4 linked regions of the Arabidopsis thaliana genome follow. The protein of the gene in region 4 interacts with the protein of the main gene of each other region in a biochemical or structural test. Each region holds a gene or a part of one and is shown on either strand. Other genes may lie near its edges. The genes, in order: CIP8, CAM7, SHW1 and HY5.

Region 1 (5,603 bases), about 22 Mb from region 4:
ATAGCACTATTTGTTTCTTGGTATTAGATTAAGGTGACATTTATCTTGTCGACTGATTTGCTTGCAAAGTCATCTGGTACTGCAATGTGCATCTCTCTCTTCCCCTTTTGATATCATCTATCTTATCATTGCAGCTCATTCAGTCACTTACAAAGATGAAAACAAGGATGTCCTTGTTCCTGTTGTCGTTTGTGTAAGCTTTGGTTTCGTTTTTTATATCATGTCACTGGTGTTTGAAAAATAAGCTCGGCATTGTGATTGGAAAACAAGATCATATTGTTTATCTATAACTGACGGTTAATTTTGGTTCTTATCTATTTACAGATTGATTCACCTATTCCCCCTTCTGATGAGATAGGAGTTGCATCGGTTCAAGGAGAGGTTGGGGAAATTATTGCAATGAAAACTATGAAAATGGCTTGGGTTCCTTACATCCCACTTGAACAAAGGTATATAGACATCCCTGAGTTGTACACATATTTTCGTGAGAGGGTCTTAAGCAATGAAACAGATAGTATATTTGTGTATTACTCTTCTTACTTTTGATGTTTATGGGAGTTGTTGCTAATTTCATCTGCTTTTGTTCTTCTGCAGGGATAGACAAGTTGATAATAAGAACTTTCCAATTTTCATCTTGGGCTGTACTCAGAGAAGGTAAATACTCTGTGGTATCTTTTCCTCCCAATGTCTTGTTACCATGCAAGTTAGGAAGTTATAGAAGACGTGATTTGTTCATTCGCTTTGTAGAGGAAAAAGAATTACATTACATATGGTTTTGAAGCAGATAGCTTTATCTGAAAACGTGATGCAACACTTTGCATTCTTCGATCATTCCCATTCACATTCAGTAACTTAACGAGTGCAGAATTTGGTGTATTCAGCCTAGCTTTGTATATTTTCTTTGCAGGTCTGCTCTCAAACATTTGCCTGACGATCGTGTTAAAAAGTTCAACTATTGCCTTCCTTGTGAGCTCTAATTTTGATGCTTAGCTGGTTGTTATTGATGTTATATTCTCAGTACCATGTTTTCATTTGCTTGAGATTTGTTTTCCCTAGACATCATACTGTAAATATTACTGTTTTACTATGATTTGCAGACATCAACAACCCATATAAGGTTGATGACTCTGAGAAGAGCACTGTGGTTAAAATAATGTTCCCTTCTGAGCCACCAGTAAGTTATTTTTGTCTTTCTTAACTGATCGACAATACAATTTGGTAGTTTCATTTTTAATCAAACTTACTTTTCCTTTGTGCAGGTTGAATGTGAATATGACTGGGTGAAAAGCGTCATTGAGGTGCAGTATCTGACTTTTCCAATAAAACACCTTACTTGAATTACTTCTCATCTCAGTTTATTTTAGGAATTCACCGACAGTCTGATCAATGAGGAGGTATTACTCCCGGAACAAAAGGTTGCGTTCGAGGTAAGCAAGCAAGAGCTGGAATTGATTTGATGAATTCATTTGAGGGAGGTCTCTAAAATCACTCACCCATATGTTTCCTTTTTTCAGGAGTTTGTCAAAGAGAAAAGTGACAAAGCTATGGCAGCTTATGACACGGTATCATGTTTCATACCCTCTGCTACAGAGCCGCACATATACTTAACAATGGATTCTACAATTGGCAGGCACAAGAAGCCCTAGAGAAAGCAAAGGAAGGACTGAGCGAAGAAACAAAAAAAGCCTATCAAGAAATGAGGTTGTACAAGTTTTATCCATTGCCTTCACCAGACACACCCCACACTGCAGGAATTGAGAAGGTACAAAACAAATCCAACTTAGTTTGTCAATGGAACTCTGAATATTATTGCCAAAATCTGATATAAGTTTGTTGGTCTCTGTGCAGTCCCCGTTCATAAACAGGTACTTCGGGAAGGCTCACGAAGTCCTGTAACCGTTTCTCCTAAACCCAGGAACCTTTTTGTTTCGGCAAACTTTATGAACAACTGAGAATCAAAGAAACCACTATGGGATTGTTTAGGCCAAAGATACAACACACTTACAAATAACAATTGTCTTTTTGGAGCCGGATTTTTTTTTTTTGTTCTCTGTTTTCTCGCTTCTTTGATGCAACATGCAACCAACCAAATAGTGTTGAGAGACTAAGCAAAGATTAATCTAAAGAGAAAGAGTAACAACAAAAGTAACAACAAATGGGGGCATTTCCTCCACTTCAGTAACGAGAAGTTGAAGAAGAAGAAGAAGCAGCAGCAGAATCTGACACGGTAGAAGTTCTTTTTTTCCTCTCTTCCTCATATTCAGCATCATCAGTCTCAAGCTGGAATCTACAGACAGGACAAGAGTTCCTTGTTCCTAACCATGGCACAATACAATCTCCGTGGTAACAATGTCCACACGGTAACTTCTTACCAGTTTCTCCCATCACCATTCCATCTTTACACACAGCACAAACCATAACCATCTCTCCCTCCGAAGAACTAACCTCGAAAGTCTCCAATGCCTCTATTGCCGATTTCGCAGCCGGTGGTGCGCCTCTCCTTCCTCCGCCACCACCACCATCTCCTTCTGCTAAATTCTGTAGCAAAGCTTCGTATCCGGCTGCATCGTCTATGTAATCAGCCGGATTTCCTGCGTATCGATCTGATTCCATACGGAACTCAATCGAATTGTCTTCGATTCCCATCAAAATCTCAGCCCAATCGAGAATTCTGTTTCTTCCGGTTCTCGACTGCGTCGTCGTGAGAGGAAAACGATTTCTCCTCCTCAGATCATCTTCTTCGTCTTCTTCGTCGTTGACGGTTAAATTCTCTTCCTCATCCTCTTCTTCTTCATCTCCATCATCTTCATCTTCGTCTTCGTCATCGTCGATTTCGTTTCTACTATTGAGCTCCAACCTGAAGAAATCATCTTCGTAAGATAAAACATCAAGGTGTCGTGGTGGTGAACGCTGAGAAGGCGCGTGGGCTAACAAGCGGAGCATCTGGAGGAAATGCGAGCCAATACTGGAGTCTTCTACATTCAGATCTGGGGAAAGTGGCTGCGGTGGCGCCGGCGATGAATAAGCGGCGGGAGTCGGTTGAATTGACTCGACGAAACCTTTGTTACATTCGCAGCACACGACAAAGTCATCTAAGGTTTCAACGACGACGCGTTTGTTGCAGTGATAGCACCAGTGCGACGCCGTGGCATCCGGGGAAGACGACGGAGCATCGGACATCGTGCAATTAATCGTCGGGTTTTCAGGCTTTCGGGTCCGGATTCGGATCCGATAAGCCGATTAAGAGGATGGAGAAAATAAAAGAAAAAGGTCTCTCTGTATTATTATTATCGAATTTTTAAGACATTAGAGAATCCTGCTCATTTACCCACTTGACCCACCCACAATATCATAATATTTTCTTCTATATATGATATCACCATCATCATAAATTCATAATACTTACAATTTAATCAAACTGTTCAATTGCTGTCAAACATAAAAATCAAATTGTTCAATCCAATTTAAACCAGCTTCCAAATCAAAACTGACTTGCACTTTTATCCAAAAACTTGATAAGATAAAGTACCATTTGACCCATGAAATTTTGTCATATCGAAAAGCATAATTTTAATTTCTTTTGACAACAATACAAACATATAACTCGAATACATAACTTTGTAATAGCGATACAATTGTTTCAACAGCACCCATAAAATAAAATAAGATTAAAAAACCCAAATCGTTACAATAAATTACAATACAAAGATGGCCTCCTCGTCTCAAGCATAGTCAGACCCACCATGAAGGTGATACATAGCGAAGTCTCTCCATTCACCAAATGTTGCAAATGGCAAAAGACCGTTTATGACTGGAAGAACAAACAGAATCACCACATACACGACACTGCGCCTTGCCCAATATGGAAACATACTGTTACAACGGTTCGATCTGGTCTCTTGAGTCACGTTTATAGGACCGAACATTAGACCATACAAAGCCAATGTGAAGACATTTGCAACGAATTGCAAAAGGCAAAACACTTCCCAAACTATTAGCCAGAGTTTGCCATCACCGCCCAATGTGTCCACACACAATTTACCCGATACACCGCAAAATATACCGAGGAAAAGAACGATGAAACTTATCGGCATTGTCTGCTTCGTACCTGATGATCGTTTGTTTAGAAAGTAAGTGAAGACAATGATCATTAACACACCGAAAAATATCTGCACCCAAACTCGAACCCGGCAGATGAAGGTGTTGAAGCCTGAGTTAATCGATGAAACTTGTTTAGGAACCCACCACGACGAACTTTTCTCCTCGGATTGGTCGCATACTGAGGTAGCATCCTCGATTCTCTTTATTGAAAAATTGTAAACGCCAAGTACCATAGAAGCCAACATGCTGAAGACACTTACGAGGAGCCAATCCATGATTCTTGTGACCATCTCTTCTTTTCTTGTATCTTCTAATTCGGTTTTGAATTTCTCCGCTCTGAATGCAGCTTTCGAAACATCCAACTCTAGCGCCGCTTTCCCCAGGTTGTTTGATTCAAATTTTAATCCTAGCGCCGTCTCTTTGCACCTTAACTCTCTTATTTGAAGACCAATCTCCACGGTCTTTAGGTCGTTTGCTCGTGTTTGCTCTTTTAAAAACCTTTCGTCTGTGGTCAAAGCCATTGCTGAACTTCTAGGAGGGACACAAGAGAGTTGTAGAGTCTCTTCGAAAAGGGCAAGCTCATTCATCAAAGAGGTTGCTGTTGCACTGCCTTGCATCACTTCATAAGCAGACGTAGCAGATGAAGTCTCCCTCTCAAATAGCTCGGTGTCTGAGCATCCGTCTATGGTAGAGCGATCTAAATTACAACTCCCACCATCATTATTGTTTGACTGATGTGGATTTGCACATTCATTGGTCAATTTAAGGATCTTTAGAGTACTGCTGAATGTTTGCTCAAAGTTGGTCGCAAAGGAACCAAGCTTATTACCATAAACCTGTAACCACAACATTATGAATCAGAAAGTCTATAAATATAAAAATGCGGAAAACATAGAGGGGGATTTTAGCTTACATTGGCTAATGATTCTTCGACAAGAGTAGCAAAGATCTGGAGAGCATAATCAATGAAGTTCTTGTATCACTACCAAAACGATGGCAAAAGAAAGATTGAACAGAAACTGAGAAGAAATCATTTGAAGTTCATACTACTTACCTCAACAAGATCATCAACATAAACATTCTGACCTGCGGCATTCTTTCTCGCAATAACCTAGAGAACAATAAAACAGAGTAGAAACAGAGTAAGAACTACAGAGCATATGCAAGTCAATGACTTTGGCGGCTAGGTAGGATGAAATTTGGTGAAATCACAATCAGAACTACAAATCCGAGTAGAAACTAGAAAGGCTCAAGCTTTAAGGCAAGTGAGAGAGAAGACAATATAAATTTGCAATGTTACATTGAAGCTCGATCATAGAGACCCCCAAGAAGAACTTCAGCTTCTATTGATTGACTCTGATTATAATTTGAGGAGAAGATCCTCTCTTCGATTCAGGGTGAAGAATTCACGCAAGTACTGAGAGAAGAAAATTCAGATTCAATCCTTTTGACTCTGATTCAGATCCTCTCCTCTGTCCAGTTTTGAATCAACAAAGCCTAAA
Region 2 (7,617 bases), on a different chromosome or scaffold from region 4:
TTAACCCGACCCGCTATCTCGAAATCTTTACCTGACCCGCTGAAGATATTTGATCGAGTCACTCAGATCATAAAGGTCCATGAGTTTTTCTATGGTTATTGATAGTCTAAATCATATGCTCTATTTATGTAAGTTAACCAAAATAATAAGAAATGTTGTAATGCTTAAGGAAGTAGTTGGTGTGAAAAAATTTATTTTTCATTTGATATTATAATTGAAATAAAATGGGTTTGTTGTTCTTGATATATCATAAGTTATTTTTATTATTATTATCCTATGTTGATGGAAAACTTTTAGAAATTCCTATGTTATTCAATTATATAACAATGTCGATATTTGGTAAAGAATTCAATTATATATCTTACTATAGTTTAACTTAATTCTTGATGTAGTTTCTTGTGGAATGGTATATAAACACCATTACTCTCGATCTTTATTTTGCCATATCGTCTTTCGATGCGAAGGAAATGGGAACATAATCCAATACATCATCACCAACACACTGATTCTCGTAATGAAGACTTGTCCAGTCTTTTTCTAGTTTTAAACAAAAAACCATTCAAGAATAATAAAATCTACAATATGGAGTAGCAGCAATAGTATATTAAGTCTTGGTCACTAAGTGTTGAGCAATAAAATCTTCCATGACAGTAAAGATGATGTTGATATTACATGCGAGTGACTTACGAGATATTATCATGACATTATATATGGTTAAACATTTTGATAGATTTTAACTCATTTGTTTTTCTACTTTTATCTCTCAGTTGTTACAAGACTGTTTAGTGTGTTATAGTTTTTGTTTCTTTAATTTTTTTAACCTTTTTCTTTGAGTTTGTTTAGAAAACAGTACATTTCCGTAACTTAATTGGAGAAGTAGTACAATTACTATTTATAATTACTAAAATATTCGAAAAAGTTTTTGTTTGGTGAGAGAGAAAGAGAGGTGTAACAGATTTAAATAAAGAGAAAGAGAGCATTTGAGAGGGAGACGTGGGTCAAAAAAAATTTTCTAATTTTTTTTTCTTTTCTTTATTACATTTCATTCTCTCAAAGTTTAATAATTAAAATACTTGTTTGTAAATTTTATTTTTCTAAAATTGATCATAGAAAAAAAAATCTATGTTTATCGTTTAATTGTTAACATTTCGGCGGTTGGAGACACTACTGGTTTTGTTTATCGTTTATCGTTTACAAGATGAATATAAATCTATAAAACTGTTAAAATTCTAAATTCCTAGAGATAAACTTGGTAACTTAATTTTTTTTCTTAGGACTAAACTAAATGGTTTGAATCCAAGTACATAATTGTTAGTCCTCTACCAGCGGCTCGCATGGTAATCCACCAACCAATCTTTTCTTTATGCCATTACGTAGCCTATATACAAGGTTATTATTATGTTTTTTAAACAATCCCTCGATATATGCAAGTTATCTACTATTAGCTTTCACTATTCTTCGTCTTCATTGTTTTAAGTTAGTTCTTGATCAGCAAGTACAGTGAGCTATAGAATCGAGCAAGAATGAGAGCGGTGGCAGAGGAGATTCAAACGGCTAGGAACGCGATGTGACTCGGGCTGTGAGGGGTTATGCTGGATCAATTCTTTCTCATTCCTTTTAGCATTTTTGGTCTTCTTCTTTTTCTTTTTCTTCTTCTTCTTCTTCCTTTTCTTTATCAATTTACTTGCGCATTCCCAAACATGACTGAGAACAAGAAACAATAAAAACCGAGTAGTTGGTTCCTTCTTTCTTTGGGGTTTAGAAATGAAGAAGATAATAGAATTAACTGTAAAATGTCAATTCTTTTTTGTTTCTTAGTTCGTCACAAAAAAAAAAAAAAGAGAAGAGAGATATATGAACTGAATTGCATAAAAAGAGTCTTACATATTACTAAAGAAAACTTAATGAGCTTGAATGTTAAATTGACAATAACTAAATTAGAAAAACTCTATAAAAACAAACTTATAGTTTATACGGGCCGACCGGATCAGTCGATAAGATTTATTAAAAAAACAAAAAACAAACAAATTTATGGTTCTATTAGTATATAGTTGATACTAATACTAGAACTATGAGTCTATGACTAGTATAGTGGAAATTATAATAATTGTTATAAATATAACTTTAATGACTAACTTGTAAATACTAAAAGTTGATTTTGCATAAAATAAAATATAATTCAATTTTAATATAGAAAAAAATTAAACAATTGAGGAAAATTTATATCTATAATTAAATAAACATATAAAATAAAATTAAATAAAAAACATATAGAACAAACTATTATATACGTTTATGTGTATTATAAATCCAAATATCAAATTCAAATTAGAGCTAATGTTATAGTAAGAAAAATGTCTATACGTAGATAAATTAGTTTTTTTTCAAATATAATCTAGGGGAGAACCACACAAGATGGAGTAGTTTGACAGTACTATTACTCACAAGATAGGCCTTCATCAGCTAATAAACCCTCACAACCTTAACAGCCTTATCAACCATACCATTGGGCCTTAAGTGGGTATTTGAAATAGAAAATGTTTGATCCCAAGAACTTTTACTACTACTTTGTTCTTGCAAAGACACTAAATTTTAAACAATTACAGTGCACGTTTTTGCAACTAGTAAGCAATTATTTCTCCACGTAATGGATATAATTAGTCGATCTCAATAAACTGCAATATTTTAGAGAAAAGAGAAAATAACATCATCAAGTGGTCATGACTCGAGAGACTAAAGCAAATTATGAGTTCAAACGTCACGGACAATAACAAAACCAAAAGGCAAAGAAGAAGCAACGTTACCAAAAAATCACGATCAACAAAACAAACAAGGAAGCAAATCTCTCTGTTTCTTTTGGTTCAATAAATTACTTTTCTCAGTTTTAAAGATGTAAAAGAAAAACATGCTTAGGATTTCGAGGGATAAGAAGAATCTCACTTTGCCATCATGACTTTGACGAACTCTTCATAGTTGATCTGACCATCACCATCGACGTCAGCCTCTCGGATCATCTCATCGACTTCCTCATCCGTCAACTTCTCCCCAAGATTTGTCATCACGTGACGAAGCTCAGCCGCCGAGATGAAACCGTTCTGGTCCTTGTCAAAAACCCTGAAGGCTTCCTTAAGCTCTTCCTCTGAATCAGTGTCTTTCATCTTACGTGCCATTAGGTTCAGGAACTCTGGGAAATCTATTGTCCCGTTCCCGTCTGCATCCACTTCGTTGATCATGTCCTGGAGCTCGGCTTCTGTCGGGTTCTGCCCAAGTGATCTCATCACAGTCCCAAGCTCCTTTGTGGTGATACAACCTGCAATCAAACCAAAATTGGACACAACTTCAGATTTTGTAACGCAAGAGTTCCGAGTATAACTTTATGAACACTAATATTGTCAACAAGATCAGGAAGATATATAAACCAATTATCTTAAACACAAGTAATATGTCAAGTTTTCAAATGCAAGAAAGCTCAAAAATGCTCTTAGTAAAATATCCTTACACTACTAACCCCAATCATAGTATATCTCATTTAAAAGGACGACGATTCGACAAGTAAAACTGATTGTTCGGAAATCATCTACCAAGTTAACAAAGAAACTTCTTGCACACAAACCACCAAGCAACATTTAAAGCCTCTTTCTAATCAAAGGCCAGGAAATGCACAATGTTCTAAATATGATGGTATTCTCTTAGTAATCAAAGGCCAGGAAATGCACAATGTTCTAAATATGATGTTATTCTCTTAGTAATCAAAGGCCAGGAAATGCACCTATTCTCACAAGAAAGCTCAAAAATGCTCTTAGTAAAATACTCTTAAACCCCAATCATAGTATACGACAAGTAAAACTGATTGTTCGGGAAACATCTACCAAGTTAACAAAGAAACTTTTTGCACACAAACCACCAAGCAACATTTAAAGCCTCTTTCTAATCAAAGGCCAGGAAATGCACAATGTTCTAAATATGATGGTATTGCCAATAAGCATCACAAAATGCACACCGTTGCAAGTTCTCAACTATTGTAAAGAAGAACAACAGAGATGATATTATCAACTTCTTTCTCTATTTTTCTATTTGGCAACATCACACAATAAACCAAATTTCGTTTTTTAGATTTTGAGTATAAACATCTGCAGATAAATCTACATGTTACAATTGAATCTTAAAACCACAATGCCACTAAATTTTGTGAGAACGTACAAATCCGCATGATTATAATCACAGGATTTGTTCAGAATCATAGTAAATCACAGAGAAACAACTAGATTCCAATGTACGATTCCAATGTAGGATCTAGAATATGATGAATAACCTAATTAAACAAGATTCCATAACTACAAATCTTAGTAATCATCAACGAATATACTAAAGGAGATTCTACATATTCTAGATCCTTCTATAGAAGCAAAAATCAACCCTAAACACTCTGGAGATGTGAGCAAGACTGAACGAATCAAAACGAGATCGTTCTTCAAATCACATGAAACAATAAACGAAATGTGCAGAGATTCACGATCACCGCGAAGAAATCTAAAAAAAAAACGACAAGAGAAAGAGATCTGAGAGAAGAAGAAGAAGAAGAAGAAGAAGAAGAGACCATCTCCGTCTTTGTCGAATAGGCTAAAAGCTTCCTTGAACTCGGAGATCTGGTCATCGGTTAGCTGATCCGCCATTTTTTTTGTCTTCTTCGGATTTTCTCGAGAAAATTTTTGCTGTGATATTTTCTTGTTTCTGGAGAAAGTTGAAGCGCGTGAGAGTGAATGTTCCTTCTCCTTTATAAAATGAGATCTCACCAGCTACAGGTAAAATGAGGTATTTTTGAATTGACGATTTTGCCCTCCTAAACGTCTTTCTCTTTTAATTTCTCAGACCAAAAAATTAAGAAATTCTAGTTTTGGGAGAAATTTGTTTTTTAGGTTTGCAACTTAGTTTTTACTATTTTAGGCTAATCTACTAACTACTTATGTCCAGATCATGAACTTTCTGCTAATAGTTTTGAATTTGATATTTTTGTATTATTGTTATGGTATCTTGGTATGATATATATTGATGTAACCTGATATTATACATTGATATCCAAACATTGGTGTAGGCAATTTGATAAAATTCATTTTCTATTTGCTAAGTTTATTTTAGGGTAATATTAGATAACCAAATAAAACATACAAATTAAGAAACTAGTAGAGAGAAAGTTTTTTGTTACAAAATAACCATGGACCCATGTTGTCGGAAGAAATGAAATAACAAAGCTACCTTTCATTTGTTGTAAGATGAACTGTAAACGAAACACATTCGTGTAATTTTTCAAAATAACATGTAACATTAAAATTTCACATGTTATATTTAGTTTTAAAACATGCTATTTAAAAAAACGTCATGAATTTTTAAGAAAAAACATTATTATGAAATTTTCTTACATGAACATAATCCTTAAAAAAAATTTATATGTGATTTTAATAAAACCGTGTATTACTAAAAAATAAGAATATATTTTTAAAGAAATCACGTGTGATCTTAATAAAAAATGTGTATTACTACAAAATATCATGATAAAAAGAGATATTAAACTGAATAGAATGTTTTTTCCATAAAATACCATGTGCTTTTTATAAATACTATGTAATAAGAGAAAATAACAAGATAAAAAGAGATATTATGTTATCGCATGTATTTCGGAAAAAAAACATGTTACAAAGGATATTTATGTAATTACATGTGTTCTCCAATATGTTTCCGACAAGCTACTGTGACTCAAGGTTAGTTTGTACATTCTTTTCAAATCTATAATCATTTATTATAAATTCTCTTTATTTTATCACATTTCAAAATTATAACACAAGAAAGAAAATGGTTAGACAATAAATATTAGTAGACGATTGAGAATGATTTTACGGTTTTTCCGTAATTTAGTAGAAAATTTTTGTAGAAAAATTTCCCGCCAATTGCGTTGATTTTACGATTTTTAAAAAATTTATATAATTGTCATCAATTATTTTTATAGTTTACAATTATTATTAAGTAGCACTATACCACAAAATATTTTTTGATTTTATATAATCTTTTCTAATCAGACTGATTTGATAAGTGGTGCTAAAAATAATAAATTAAAGATTTAACCCGTATTCCAAAAAATAAAAAAATTCTAGTTTTGTGACAAATTTGTTTTTTAGGTTTGTAACTTAATTTTTACTAACTTAGGCTAATCTACTAACTACTTATGTCCAGATCATGAATTTTCTGCTAATAGTAAAGCAAAAATCAGATTTTCATATTGAATTTGATATTTCTGTATTATTGTTATGGTATCTTGATATTTCATATTGAATTTGATACATTGATGTAACCTGATATTCTATATTGATGTCCAAACGTTGGTCTAGGCGATTTTAACGTTAGTATATATTAAGGTTTACAACTTGTATCTATTTAAAGAAAAATTATATTTTATAGTTTATAATTGTTATTAAGTAACGGTATAACACGAATTCACAAGACAATTGTTAATAAACAGTGCAGTTATATGTTTCCCTTTGTATTCTGACTTCTTATTGTTGGAGGCTTCTCTGACTTTTTTTTATGTTTGTGATGGTAGCTCTTTTTGAATAGGTATGTGTGAAATGCGAGAAATGCAGAGGAATTTTGACTTGCCGGATATATAGCTTTGATCTATTGTTTGTTCCCGTTATTGTTTTGATGGTAGATTATTGCGTTGAGGTTAAGGTGTTTGCTTTTTCTTAGTATTATATCATAGAGCTTCTTTTTGGTATGGATCATTCTGTTCTTTTTGTTATGATTGACTTCCCTTCGTTATAGGTATGTTGAAGGTATAAAGGGTTTTTTAGTCGAAGGATGGCTTTGATCTATCCTTATTATTGTCTAACGATTTCATGTGAATCAATTTGTTCTTTCTTAATGGGTGGATAATTTATAACGCTGGATAAATAAAAATCACCAAAGATCATACATTTCTGGCCATAATGACCTTATGGTGGTTCCAGAAGGATGAAAAAGAAATTTAATTTTAGCTTGTTTAAGTATACAAAGTAACATGACTTGTAAAAGCTTTTAGTCAATTAACCAATTCAGTAGCAATTTACTACTTAAGTGGGTACCTGTCTGACCAAACCTGTGGCGTATCTTCACCACGGTTCTGGTACATCAAAAGCCCTCCAGCCCATTTCTCTGACCGGTTATACCGAGTCACCTATATTTAAACCAAAAACTTTCATCGATTATACATCAAGTTTGTTGAACCTGTCAAACCAACCGAGCTTAAACCGAGTTCCTGATTGTTTGTGAAAGCCCCTCTAATATGTGGCGGATCATCATTATCGAGTAAACTTGCAGCATTACCACTAGGTAAGAGCTTGTAACCGGCCAAGTTCCTTAACTAAGACTGCCGGTTAGGGTTCACAAGATGGAACTCGTAAGGGTCGTACAGGCTCAACTTTATCTGAGCATCTTTATCAGTCCTGCAGGCTACATATTTCTTGACCTTCAAGTAACTCTTTCTCCTTGATTTTCCAGGTGGAAGTCTCTGCTTCTCTAGATGAATCTTAACGGAGTTCTTAGCTGGCCCGTCAATGTCCATGTCTAGATGAAATGATCGTGGACCAC
Region 3 (5,839 bases), on a different chromosome or scaffold from region 4:
CAGTCATGGTTTAACTTATTGTGAAATTAAGTCAGAAGTTCATGTTATCCCTTTCAATGTCTATGTATATCTATTAACAGTCAAGGCCGGTAAATCATTACAAATCTCAAATGTTCCACGTCCTAACTTGAGTTTGGACCGTAACCTAGGGAATCTTTTCGGAATTTCGATGGTCGCCATTTTCTTTTCTGTAAGATCAAAACATGTACGTCAGTTCGTCGTCGAGCAAAAACGACAAATATTTGAAATAAGAATATCTTCAGATTCAAATAATAGTTTTTACACTTTCCATTATGATTGACCGAAACAATATTTAATTTGGTAAGTATGAGATATACATGACGTAAACAAACAACAACAAAATACGATATACATCGTATACCAATTTGATATATAAATTAAAATCAAAACTTTCTTGTGAAATGTTTTCATGGTTCGTATTAATAGATGTGTAATCCATACATAAAATCGTATGTGTAATTTAGGAGTTGTTACAAAATTTAGTACTTACAGATTTGGAGTGTAATTATTATTACTTAACTAGTTGAGCCCTTAACAGGATGAATGAATTTGAAATTTCATAGTCTATGGTGTACTGCTACTTTTTATAGTTTCCACAGAGATTATACTATTATATTATGGAAAAAAAACAATCTGGCTCTGATTCCCAAGACTTATTAGAAGAGAACAATACAGTTTACCGAGAGTTGTGGAAAAAGTAATTAAACAAAATCTCAATTACGAGTTAACTTTATTTATGATTTACTTTATGTATGACTTAATAAACCCTAGATACTTCCAAACTTCCGCGTCTTTGCTACCAACTCAGAGTGACGACGACTCACCTTCTTTCTCACTTTTTGTAGCGTCAAATTTTCCGGAAAGTAAACATCTTTGAAATTTCTTCATCTTATAGTTTTTGTGTGTTTGTCTATACATTTTTCTTTTAACTACGACTGATTCATAACTTTTTTCTAGAAAGAAAACAAAGACTCAATTTATAAAACATTAAAACCAAATAGATCTTAGTTGTAGTTTAAGAAAAAACAAAAAAAATATATCGTAATTACAGTTTATCCATGTTTAAACAAAGAAAAATAATTTCAAATTCAAACAAACCGATATATAGGGATATCCCAAAATCATACCCGGATAAAAAAAAATTGCTCAACTAATTAAGAGTTACAACTTTAAAGATTGTCTTTTATTTCCCCCTTTAAAAATTCATATTGTGTATAGGTTTCAACTGCAGCAGCATAATATATTGAATATTCTTAAATTATTCACAAATTTATTAAATTGTTTGATGTCAAATTGGTATAATATGAACTTTTCAAAATATATATTCTTTTCGCTTTTGTAACACATGAGAAATACAGAATCCGCGTTTCCTGATAACATGTGTTGATTTGGATAAGTTGCGTGCAAAGAACAATGAAAGTCAAAGATGTAGCTATAGTAACTCCAAGACGGTCTAGTGTAGTGTGGTGGTTTCGACCTCTCTATTTTCAAGATCTCACTATTTTCATCAATGTGTACGGTACGAGGTTTTACAGAAATTAACATCATCAAGAAAGACACATTAAGTATTTACGTCTTACCAAAAGATATGTCACCCTTTGATCCAAAAAAAGAAGAAGATGATGTGTCCACATAAACCTAATTTATGATTTAGCATCATTGAATTTATGATTTGTCTATATTCAAATATAATACATTCTCTTTGATTAAATTCAGAGTAAAATTTTGAACTCTGAAAATAAACAAAGGATCGATCTATATTAAAAGGTTTTAAATAATACAAATCACTCCTAAAACCACATTGTATTCTCGACATGATCATGAATGACAAATACACTAACTCTGTGTCCAGCTTGTTTTGTTCCCTCCAGCCTAACACCTTCGATTTCAACTCTTCTAAAGCTTTTTTGCATCATGTTATAGTAATAACAACACAATGGTGTATTCATTAAAATTACACATACGTTGAACAACAAATATCAGGAAACATTACAGGAAACATTCTTTTATCTTCTTAGTTTCGTCTTCTAACTCTTGATAAACTACATAATTCCCTAGCTATATTAATGCACACATTTATCTTACATTTCCCTTTACCAATTGACGTAACAAGACATGAGTTACAACATCTCACACCCAAATGGGAGTAAAACAAGGTTTTAATTTACCGGGTTTGGTCCAAAAGAGTTCCCATAAGTCTGGAAGAACGAAGCTGCCGCCCAGAACAACCGTATCAGCAGAATCACCGTAAACACAGTTCCTCCTAGATTGCATATTACCTTCCATAAAAGTTAGCAACACATATCCATGAGATCACACTCAACTAAAACAAGTTACTCTAATTCATAAACGCTCATAAATAGTGTATGCTACACATACAATCCAATGCAACTATCAGATCAAACTAGCTTCAACAAGAAAGCTCAAAAACCAATCACACAAAACAGAATCAAACCATATACGATTCGATACTAGTGATTCAATTAAGTAAGCAAAATGGTAAAAGATTACCTCAAGAAATGCTCTTGTAATGGAAAGTGAACCTAATAACAATATCCCATCTACTGCAAAAGACACCTGCAAATCATAAAAACAGAGGAAACATCAAAAGTGGAAACTTGAGGATAAAGAAACAAAATTTCCCACAAAACTGAAGAAACACTTAAAAGCTTTAATGGAGAAGAAGAAGAGACTCACGAGTCGAGGAGACATGGCAGCTGGCAAAATCCGTCGCGATGCTTTTTTAGTTCGTTTCGAGACTTTCTTGAACATGCTTCTCAAGAATCTGATCAAAAGATCGACACTGCTTTCTCTTTCGTCTTCTTCATCATCATCGTCGCTAAATCCGTCGTCATCGGGAACAACATCGTAATTGTCACCACCGCCGAAGAATCTATCGTCTGATTCGTATCGCCTACGCGACTAAGGATAAAGAGATTGAGTAAATTCGGATTCGGATTCGGATTACACAATTCTATGAGTAGGAGATAATCAGAACGTACGTGGGAGCTAGACGAAGCGAGTGAGCGATTTAGGCGGCGGAATCGGCGGCGGAGGAATATAGAGTTAGAAGAGAAGGGAGTTACAGAGACAAATCTGTGTGAGGCATTGATGAGAGTTAGCGATGGTGATGATGAAGATGATGATAAGGTTGTTGTAGCTGCGGCCATTTGTGAGCAGAGAGAGTAACACCAGATGATTATTCAGTGATTGTAATTAAAACGGACCTTTTTGATAATTAAATACATTTGGGATACTTTTGTAAGTATACATAAACAAAAGGTACTGTTTCGTAGTTTTTACTTTGGTCGTGACCGAGTTTTACTTTTAGACTTAAAAGACTTTTTTGATAATTAAATAAAACCTCGGCTATTTTAGAAAAGCTACATAAATATAGGGTACCATTTATACTTTTATTTGAGAGAGAAAATCAATTTATTTCGGCTAAGTCTCGATTGCTTATATGTTTCTCAGATTATCGACCTCTCGGTTCTTTGCATAAAAGCATACATAGGGTCGTAAGTAGTGACGACTAGGTAAAGAAAAAGTTTGCTAAAAGTGATATATGTAAAAATAATTTTTTTGTTAAAAGTGATATATGTGCAAAATATGATTTTAGACTTGATATTGAAGAGTTTACAAAGCGGGTGGTGGGAGAAGCCACTTGGATCCTTGGATGTAGCCGAGGGATAGGAAACGGTTAGCTTCTTTGTCGTCAATGTCTTGTGTGAATGGTACTCTCTTGGCTTTGTGTGATCCTGGTCCTGAACACTTGTACTCTCCGTAGAACACGGTTCTGTCATTTTTGATATAATCAGCATAAAGGACATGGACCGATTGGGTGATATTCATACGATTTTTTATGTAATGTGAAAAGTGGGACTTACTTGTCATGTGCGGGAGTCTTGTTTTCTTGCCATCCGGTGGGGTTGACAACGCTGGTCATCTCGGTGTAGGCATAAACAACCTTAGGGTGGCTCATCCATGCTCTTCCCAAATAAATTCCTCCACCGGTTCCAGTCACCTTGCAGTGCACGAAAGAGTATCCACTCTTCTCTTCTGCGCTCTTTCCTGCATGCGCTGCTATCACTCTAATACCGTCTCCAACCACGTGCAATTGTGTTCCCTTTTGAACTCAAACATGCATTAGAGATCTCGCACTTTATGTATTAAGAAATAAGTATGAGATGTTACGTACCAAGTACATAGAGGTTCCACTTCCGAAGATGAAATCGAATGTTCCTTCAACGTAACAATCCTTGAAGAAATGGTTTCCTGTATCGTCACAGATTGTGTCTTGGAAACCGTAGAATTTGCAGTTGTAGAAAGCAGCAAAATTTCCGGAGATTCTCATGGATAAAGCTTGTGCTCCCTTAGTTTTACCATCTGGTGCCGGCGCAGTGTTCTACATATGCAAAAAAATAAATCACTCGGCCATGAAATAGTCGACTAGTCACATAGATGTATGATATATAGTAGGATCACTTACCTTAACGACGATGTTAACGGCCATGAAATAGTCGGATAAGATAATGAGAGAGGCGCTATCAACGGTTCCATACTTGGCGGCGGTACCGTCATAGGTGATAACAGGCATGGCATTGGGTTGTCCCATCAATGTAATGAAGGGTTTGTTCCTGTCGATAGTGACCTTCTCTTTGTATTCACCAGGAGCCATCTTTATGATCACCCGCTTTGTGTTCCCTGCAGGAACGCTCTTTATTGCGTCCGTTAGTGTTTTGAATTCACCACCCTTTGGATTCACCTGCAATAATTTTTACATGTTTTTCAAAAAAATTGTATCAAAATCTATTGGTACAAAGGATGAGTTTAAGACAATAAGTGTGAATAGTACGTTGATGATACGTGGAGCAGCCTCAGCAGCTACAAGAGCAGGATCTAAGCCTTTACGTTGAGCCAATGGACCAACGTTGGCATTGAACCACTGCGCCACTTGGGGTTTGCCCTCTGGGATTGGTGTCACATCATCTGCGAACACCATCGGTGTAACAAAGACCATCAACAGGCCTAATAAAATGGACACATTTGTGTATCCCATTTTTTATTTTATTTTTATTTAAAAATAAAAAGTTTTTTTTGTTTTATTATTTTTTTTTGTTTTTTTTCGTTTTTTTTTTCTGGATGATTTGATGGAAAGATGGCCATGAGTATATATACTGTTTCAGAGACCTAAATTGTTTTGAGTTTTGTTCTCGTTTGCTATTATTGTTTGTGGTGATCCATTTTTGCAACCCGCTATAATTTCTCTTGGAATTTTGTATGTTTTCAAAATATTTTATTAATTCTTGATAGATTTTACTATTAATATTTTTACTACATCGTTTTTTTTTTTGTGATTTTGATAAGACTATACAACTGTTAATTTATGTACCATAAGTTTATTAAAAAAACAATTTAAAAAAAAAATTTGATTAAATCCATGTCGAGAGACACATCCGAGGAGGTAACAACATCAACATGTTCACCAACACCATTTTGATAATAACATACCTTTGGGCTATATTTATAAAGATGGTTTCTTAAAAGCTTTATGCAAATAAAAATTAAAAGCATTCAGATTGACACCTCTTTCAAGAAGAAGCTGCAATCAAGAGGACATAAACATGTTATTTTTCATTTACAAAGACTCACAACAAAGTTTAAAAGATAAACAAATTTACTTGAAAGATCGAGATTTTCATTTTTGAAGAGCAATTCTTAGAGAAGTATGTCCAACTTCATTCTGAGCCTCAATATCGGCTCCACAATTCAAAAGCAGCTGAGTCATACAACTCTAGTTACTTAAACAACGCGGAGA
Region 4 (5,703 bases):
ATAACGACGAAGAACAAAATAAATACTTTATAAACGACACGCTTTGCTACACTGTAAACACAAAACGGAGTCAGTGTTTAGATCTTTAAGGGATAAACGACGTCGTTTACAAAGATTCATATAAAAATCCGATTATTTTTCTCACTGCTGCTGAAAACAGCAAACAGTTTTGATGATAAAAGCCATGGCTCTATCTTCTGCCGGCGTCGTCTCTCATCTTCATCCTCCGTCGTTTTCTTCGTCGTCAGGATTATCCGTCAACAGAGTTCTGTTTCGGAATCGGAACGCTAGTCCTTGTGGTCTATCTCTTCCAATTCTCAATCCGTCTCGGTCTGTACTTGTTTTTGCTCGTGGCAAGAATCGAAAAGGATTCGTGTCTTCGTCTTCTTCGTCTCCGAAGAAAAACAAAAAGGTAAGAAAATCAGAATGAGAATGATTTATGTTCGCAATTGCTCTTACCTGCTGCTTTCGCCGAATTTGACTAGAATTTGGATACACTAACTAAGTGAGCTATTATCGGTTAGAATTGGTGAATCCTCGAATTAGACTTTGGCTCTTTTTGATTTTGTATCAGCCTTTGATTTCATGGTTTGTGGCAGAAAAGTTTGGATGGAGCTGATAATGGAGGAGGTGAGGAGGAGGAGGATCCATTTGAGGCATTGTTTAATCTTTTAGAAGAAGATTTGAAGAATGATAACTCGGATGATGAGGAGATAAGTGAGGAAGAGTTAGAGGCATTAGCCGATGAGTTAGCTCGAGCATTGGGTGTTGGTGACGATGTTGATGACATCGACTTGTTTGGTTCAGTCACTGGTGATGTTGATGTTGATGTTGATAATGATGATGATGATAATGATGATGATGATAATGATGATGATGATGATGACAGCGAAGAAGATGAAAGACCGACTAAGCTGAAGAATTGGCAGCTTAAAAGACTGGCTTATGCATTGAAAGCTGGGCGTCGTAAAACTAGTGTAAGTTTTAGTTCAGTGTTGAAGTGATGTTGAATACATTGTGTAAAGCATAGTGCTTGAGTTAGTGTCTGCTTTGGAGATTTTGCTTACGAATTGTTTAAGAGTTGACAAAGAACAAGTAGTTCTCTGGTTTTCAAATGCATAATTGATAACGGATGGTTTTGTTGTGATCTGTAGATTAAAAATCTGGCAGCTGAGGTTTGTCTTGACAGGGCTTATGTTCTTGAATTGCTTCGTGACCCGCCTCCAAAGCTGCTAATGCTAAGTGCTACACTACCAGATGAAAAACCGCCAGTAGCAGCACCTGAGAACTCCTCACCTGATCCAAGTCCTGTGGAATCATTATCAGCTGAAGATGTTGTGGTCGAACCTAAGGAAAAAGTAAAAGATGAAGCAGTTCATGTGATGCAACAGAGATGGTCTGCTCAGAAAAGAGTGAAGAAAGCTCACATTGAAACGCTAGAGAAAGTTTACAGAAGATCAAAACGACCCACTGTAAGGATTCTCCTTTTACATTTGAATCAATTTCTATGTTACTTGAATGCTCTATCTCACATATGATCATGTTTGATGATGCTGTGAATAGAATGCTGTGGTTAGCAGCATTGTTCAAGTGACCAATCTTCCAAGGAAGCGAGTTTTGAAGTGGTTCGAAGATAAAAGAGCAGAAGACGGAGTTCCAGATAAGCGAGCTCCATATCAAGCTCCGGTTTGATCTAATGTTAACGTTGAGATGGCAATGATTTGTATACTTGATTCTCAGAAACTCATCAACATTGTCGTCAAGGACAAGTTTTTTTGGTGATACGAGGAGTGTTTATAGTAGTAGATTCTGTCCAATGGTGTGGCTGGATATGTTGGACTATGAAATTTTAGGATATCTTGTATTCAGTTTTTAGTTATTTCCTTGCTGAGATTGTGTCTTGTAGAAAACCGTTTCAACTTTGTTTGGTTTATGGCGGCTATAAAGTTTAATTTTAATGCATGACAAAAACAAATCACCAAAAATAAAATAAATTACTTTCACGACACTTTTGAAAGCACTGCCCTAGGCGTGGGCCATGTGACAGAATGAAAGAACTCAGACCAAACTTTTCTGTCCAAGGACAGGAATGGGGCCCACCCAATTAGCTCCCCTATCCATTATTCACCGTAAGATGCTAACCAGATCTAACGGCTAAAATCCACCCACGTTCCAATCTCAATTGCCTTTGGATCCTTGTATTTCCTCAAGGCTCACCTTTCTCCACGATTCACTCTCGATATCCGTTCGATTCTTCAGAGATCTGACGGCGGTAGCCAGAGTAATCTATTCCTTCCCAAAATGTCTCGCAATTAGATTCTTTCCAAGTTCTTCTGTAAATCCCAAGTCCCGCTCTTTTCCTCTTTATCCTTTTCACCAGCTTCGCTACTAAGACAACAAATCTTTCCCTCTCTCTCTCGCCTGATCGATCTTCAAAGAGTAAGAAAAATGCAGGAACAAGCGACTAGCTCTTTAGCTGCAAGCTCTTTACCATCAAGCAGCGAGAGGTCATCAAGCTCTGCTCCACATTTGGAGATCAAAGAAGGTAAACAAAAATTGTCGATTGTTTTATTTTCATATCTTCTCCCAACGAGTGATCTCATTGATTTTCATTCTCATGCATTGGATATCTAGTAAATTCACATCTAGATTTTGTATCACCATTGATTCACATCTAGATTCACAACTTTTAGTCTCCCCCAGAAGATCTGCAATTTTTTATTGTATTTAAAAAGTTTGAAACTTTTCGTCTAAAGTCTCTTTTATGTTTTAAAGGAATTGAAAGCGATGAGGAGATACGGCGAGTGCCGGAGTTTGGAGGAGAAGCTGTCGGAAAAGAAACTTCCGGTAGAGAATCTGGATCGGCGACCGGTCAGGAGCGGACACAGGCGACTGTCGGAGAAAGTCAAAGGAAGCGAGGGAGGACACCGGCGGAGAAAGAGAACAAGCGGCTGAAGAGGTGTCTTTTTCTCTATTCATTGAATTTACATTTTTACCCTTTATATGGAAGGTGATTATGTTAAATAACGGTTGCGTGATGGGGTTGTTTGGTAATTTTGTGGTGAAAAGGTTGTTGAGGAACAGAGTTTCAGCTCAGCAAGCAAGAGAGAGGAAAAAGGCTTACTTGAGCGAGTTGGAAAACAGAGTGAAAGACTTGGAGAACAAAAACTCTGAACTTGAAGAGCGACTCTCTACTCTTCAGAACGAGAACCAGATGCTTAGACATGTACGTTTTGTCGATCTTACTGTTGACTTAACCTGCAACGTCAATGCTTTTGCCATTTGTTTTTTGATATATCACAGTACTGGTTTATCACATTTACGAGTCTAGGATTGACCAATAATTAGTTTAGTTAGTTAAAAGGATCTAAGAAGCTAACTTAAGCTTTAGATTAATTCTCAGAAGGCATGTAGGTTCTTGAAATGGTCATTCACTCGCATATTCTCTCAAAAGGCATGTAAATTCTTCAATGGTTCTTGAAATGCTCACTCATTTTGTTCTATATGAATGGAGAAGATGAGATTGCAAAGTTGGATCTCTATGTGTGTGTGTGGTAATAAAGTCTTTTGAGTTGTTATGTTTTTTATGTGGTGTAGATTCTGAAGAACACAACAGGAAACAAGAGAGGAGGTGGTGGTGGTTCTAATGCTGATGCAAGCCTTTGATCTCCTTCTTCTTCTTGTGTTATATTTTTGTGGATAAAATTTACAGAGAATTGTATCAATAATTATCATGTTAAAATTATATGGGATGTGAGAGCTAATATTGCAATTGTAGACCAAGTTCTCTTATTGTAGTCTTAGATTTCTCTTAATTGAAACATAATGTTGTTTTATAACAAAAATAAGCTAATTTTTGTTCTATGATATGACATTGTGACACTGTAGTAGAAAGGTTGCGTTTTCGATTCCCGCAGTTCAAAGTCCCAAACAAATTCTGGGATAGTGGAATCTTTACTCTTTTTTTTTTCCTTTTTGCCCCTATCCCTCCCGATTTCTTACAGACAAGTCGCCATGGATTTGTAAACGAAGATGCCGTTGATCATATTATGCGGAAATCGGACAAAGAGGGTAGGGTCGATCTTTTACAGCCAAAGCTTGTCAAGCTCGAGAGATGAGCAATCATGTAAGTGTTTTCTTACACTTTTGCTTTCCTTTTTCTAAAATCCATGGAATCCAGACATTGTTTTCTGTCACTGCTACCTTGAACTTGCTGCTCCCTTCTTAGAATCGGGTTGCCACAACCGAATTTCATGGACAAAATCGTACATTTCTTTACCTGTTGTATGCTTTCTGATTCTTTGTTTTCTATTTTAGATTTTTCGTGGATCTCATCTTCATCTATTGCTAGTTGCTAGTGTACTATGGATTGTTTGACATTATTTCTCATGCTTTTGAGGATACTCAGATTCTATCAATGTTAACAAAGAAAAATTTATTCTCCTTCTTTTACCACTTCCATCTTCTTTGTCTTACATTTGGACATTCCATGTCTTTACCAGCTTCCGCAGGGAAGATGTCCGTAGAGACTTTCTCAGTCACGTTCAGATGGAGTTTCAAAGAAAATGAATCTCTCCATTCAATGATAATGAGATTAAAAGAAGAGAGTCATCAGTATATCCAGGCGAATAGAGAATCTAATATCTCGCTTTCTAGCATCTTGCGAACAGGAAGTGAGGCAAAGGCTTGACGTTTTACCTGAGAAATCTCTCATATCATCAATATCGCTGATCAATTTGCAAAAAATCCGACAAAGAGAAAGCTTGAGGAGTGAACAGCAATGTAAGTATTTTAAGTCATGGAACTCAGATTTTGATCAATGCTTTCTTGAAATTTATCTTGAGTTTTTTAGTTGCTGCTTTCCTCTTAGAATCAAAATCTCACAACCAATGAAAAATCCTTATGATTCTACATTCTACATTATCTTTCCTTTTACTGTTTCTTACATTCTGTGTCTTGTTTATGCTTGTGAGGTTAAATTTTCCTTTTGCTGTTTGCTTCTTATGATTTTATATTTAGTTTTTTTTTTTCGTTGGACCTCATTTTGCTATTGAAACATTATTGAACGAAGCTTCTTCTCTTGCTAGTTGCTCATGTAGGACCCGTTCTTGTAATTTTCTGTGAGAAATATCCAGAATTTGGGGTATATATGTAATAGTTTCAACATTCTCAGTCAATGGAGATTGGAGTCAACGTTTTTCACTGTATACAGAGCCTCTTTAAAGCTCTGTGATAGTTGACTGCAAGAAAAGAGATAAGAAAACTGTGATACTGATCCTACTAATTTTATGGCTTCTTCGTTTTTCCTTACCACTGTTGCAGCTGCAATAGGCTTCTTCACCCTTTTGAGAAAACTCAGATTCCATCATGATAACAAAGAAAAGAAGTCAACTTCTTTATCTCCTTCATCATCTCCATCTTCTTTGTCTCCTTCATCAGTTCCTCCACCTTCTTCGTCTTGCATCTGGACACACCAAGTCTTTCCCAGCTTCAGCGGGGAAGATGTCCGTAGAGACTTTCTCAGTCACATTCAGATGGAGTTTCAAAGAATGGGAATCACTCCATTCGTTGATAATGAGATTAAAAGAGGAGAATCCATCGGTCCTGAGCTTCTGCGGGCTATTAGAGGGTCTAAGATAGCAATTATCTTGCTCTCTAGGAACTATGCTTCTTCAAAATGGTGTCTTGACGAACTGGTGGAGA

Evidence for each region.
Region 1: the proteins of HY5 (region 4) and CIP8 form a complex in vitro, tested with the Arabidopsis thaliana proteins (one study listed by BioGRID).
Region 2: the proteins of HY5 (region 4) and CAM7 form a complex in vitro, tested with the Arabidopsis thaliana proteins (one study listed by BioGRID).
Region 3: the proteins of HY5 (region 4) and SHW1 form a complex in vitro, tested with the Arabidopsis thaliana proteins (one study listed by BioGRID).

What each region holds. Positions count from the first base shown.
Region 1 is NC_003076.8:25,942,163-25,947,765, forward strand, and holds CIP8 (COP1-interacting protein 8), read right to left. Parts: upstream 3,281-5,603; 5' UTR 3,181-3,280; coding exon 2,176-3,180; 3' UTR 1,953-2,175; coding exon of another isoform or gene 1,849-1,952; 3' UTR 1,829-1,848; downstream 1-1,828. Other genes in the region: AT5G64910 (Serine/Threonine-kinase), read left to right, coding at 144-193, 325-449, 595-654, 908-966, 1,098-1,174, 1,260-1,298, 1,365-1,427, 1,515-1,562 and 2 more; CPR5 protein, read right to left, coding at 3,723-4,937, 5,015-5,050, 5,156-5,212. UniProt on the Arabidopsis thaliana protein: E3 ubiquitin-protein ligase that mediates ubiquitination and subsequent proteasomal degradation of target proteins. Probably forms a minimal ubiquitin ligase complex in cooperation with the E2 enzyme UBC8.
Region 2 is NC_003074.8:15,661,683-15,669,299, forward strand, and holds CAM7 (calmodulin 7), read right to left. Parts: upstream 4,788-7,617; 5' UTR 4,674-4,787; coding exon 4,598-4,673; exon of another isoform or gene 3,952-4,597; intron 3,799-3,951; exon of another isoform or gene 3,311-3,798; coding exon 2,941-3,310; coding exon of another isoform or gene 2,937-2,940; exon of another isoform or gene 2,450-2,936; intron 1,705-2,449; coding exon 1,506-1,704; 3' UTR 1,318-1,505; downstream 1-1,317. Other genes in the region: GSTU27 (glutathione S-transferase tau 27), read left to right, coding at 1-102. UniProt on the Arabidopsis thaliana protein: Calmodulin mediates the control of a large number of enzymes, ion channels and other proteins by Ca(2+). Among the enzymes to be stimulated by the calmodulin-Ca(2+) complex are a number of protein kinases and phosphatases. Activates MPK8 in vitro.
Region 3 is NC_003070.9:26,339,892-26,345,730, forward strand, and holds SHW1 (short hypocotyl in white light1), read right to left. Parts: upstream 3,341-5,839; 5' UTR 3,192-3,340; coding exon 3,024-3,191; intron 2,944-3,023; coding exon 2,719-2,943; intron 2,599-2,718; coding exon 2,533-2,598; intron 2,301-2,532; coding exon 2,181-2,300; 3' UTR 1,603-2,180; downstream 1-1,602. Other genes in the region: PPME1 (Pectin lyase-like superfamily protein), read right to left, coding at 3,658-3,817, 3,909-4,147, 4,220-4,426, 4,511-4,786, 4,877-5,080. UniProt on the Arabidopsis thaliana protein: Negative regulator of photomorphogenesis modulating both light and abscisic acid (ABA) signaling pathways.
Region 4 is NC_003076.8:3,591,546-3,597,248, reverse strand, and holds HY5 (Basic-leucine zipper (bZIP) transcription factor family protein), read left to right. Parts: upstream 1-2,245; 5' UTR 2,246-2,448; coding exon 2,449-2,545; intron 2,546-2,775; coding exon 2,776-2,959; intron 2,960-3,069; coding exon 3,070-3,331; 3' UTR 3,332-3,454; intron 3,455-3,597; coding exon of another isoform or gene 3,598-3,666; 3' UTR 3,667-3,888; downstream 3,889-5,703. Other genes in the region: OCP3 (overexpressor of cationic peroxidase 3), read left to right, coding at 173-412, 600-977, 1,155-1,472, 1,564-1,692; AT5G11250 (Disease resistance protein (TIR-NBS-LRR class)), read left to right, coding at 5,289-5,703.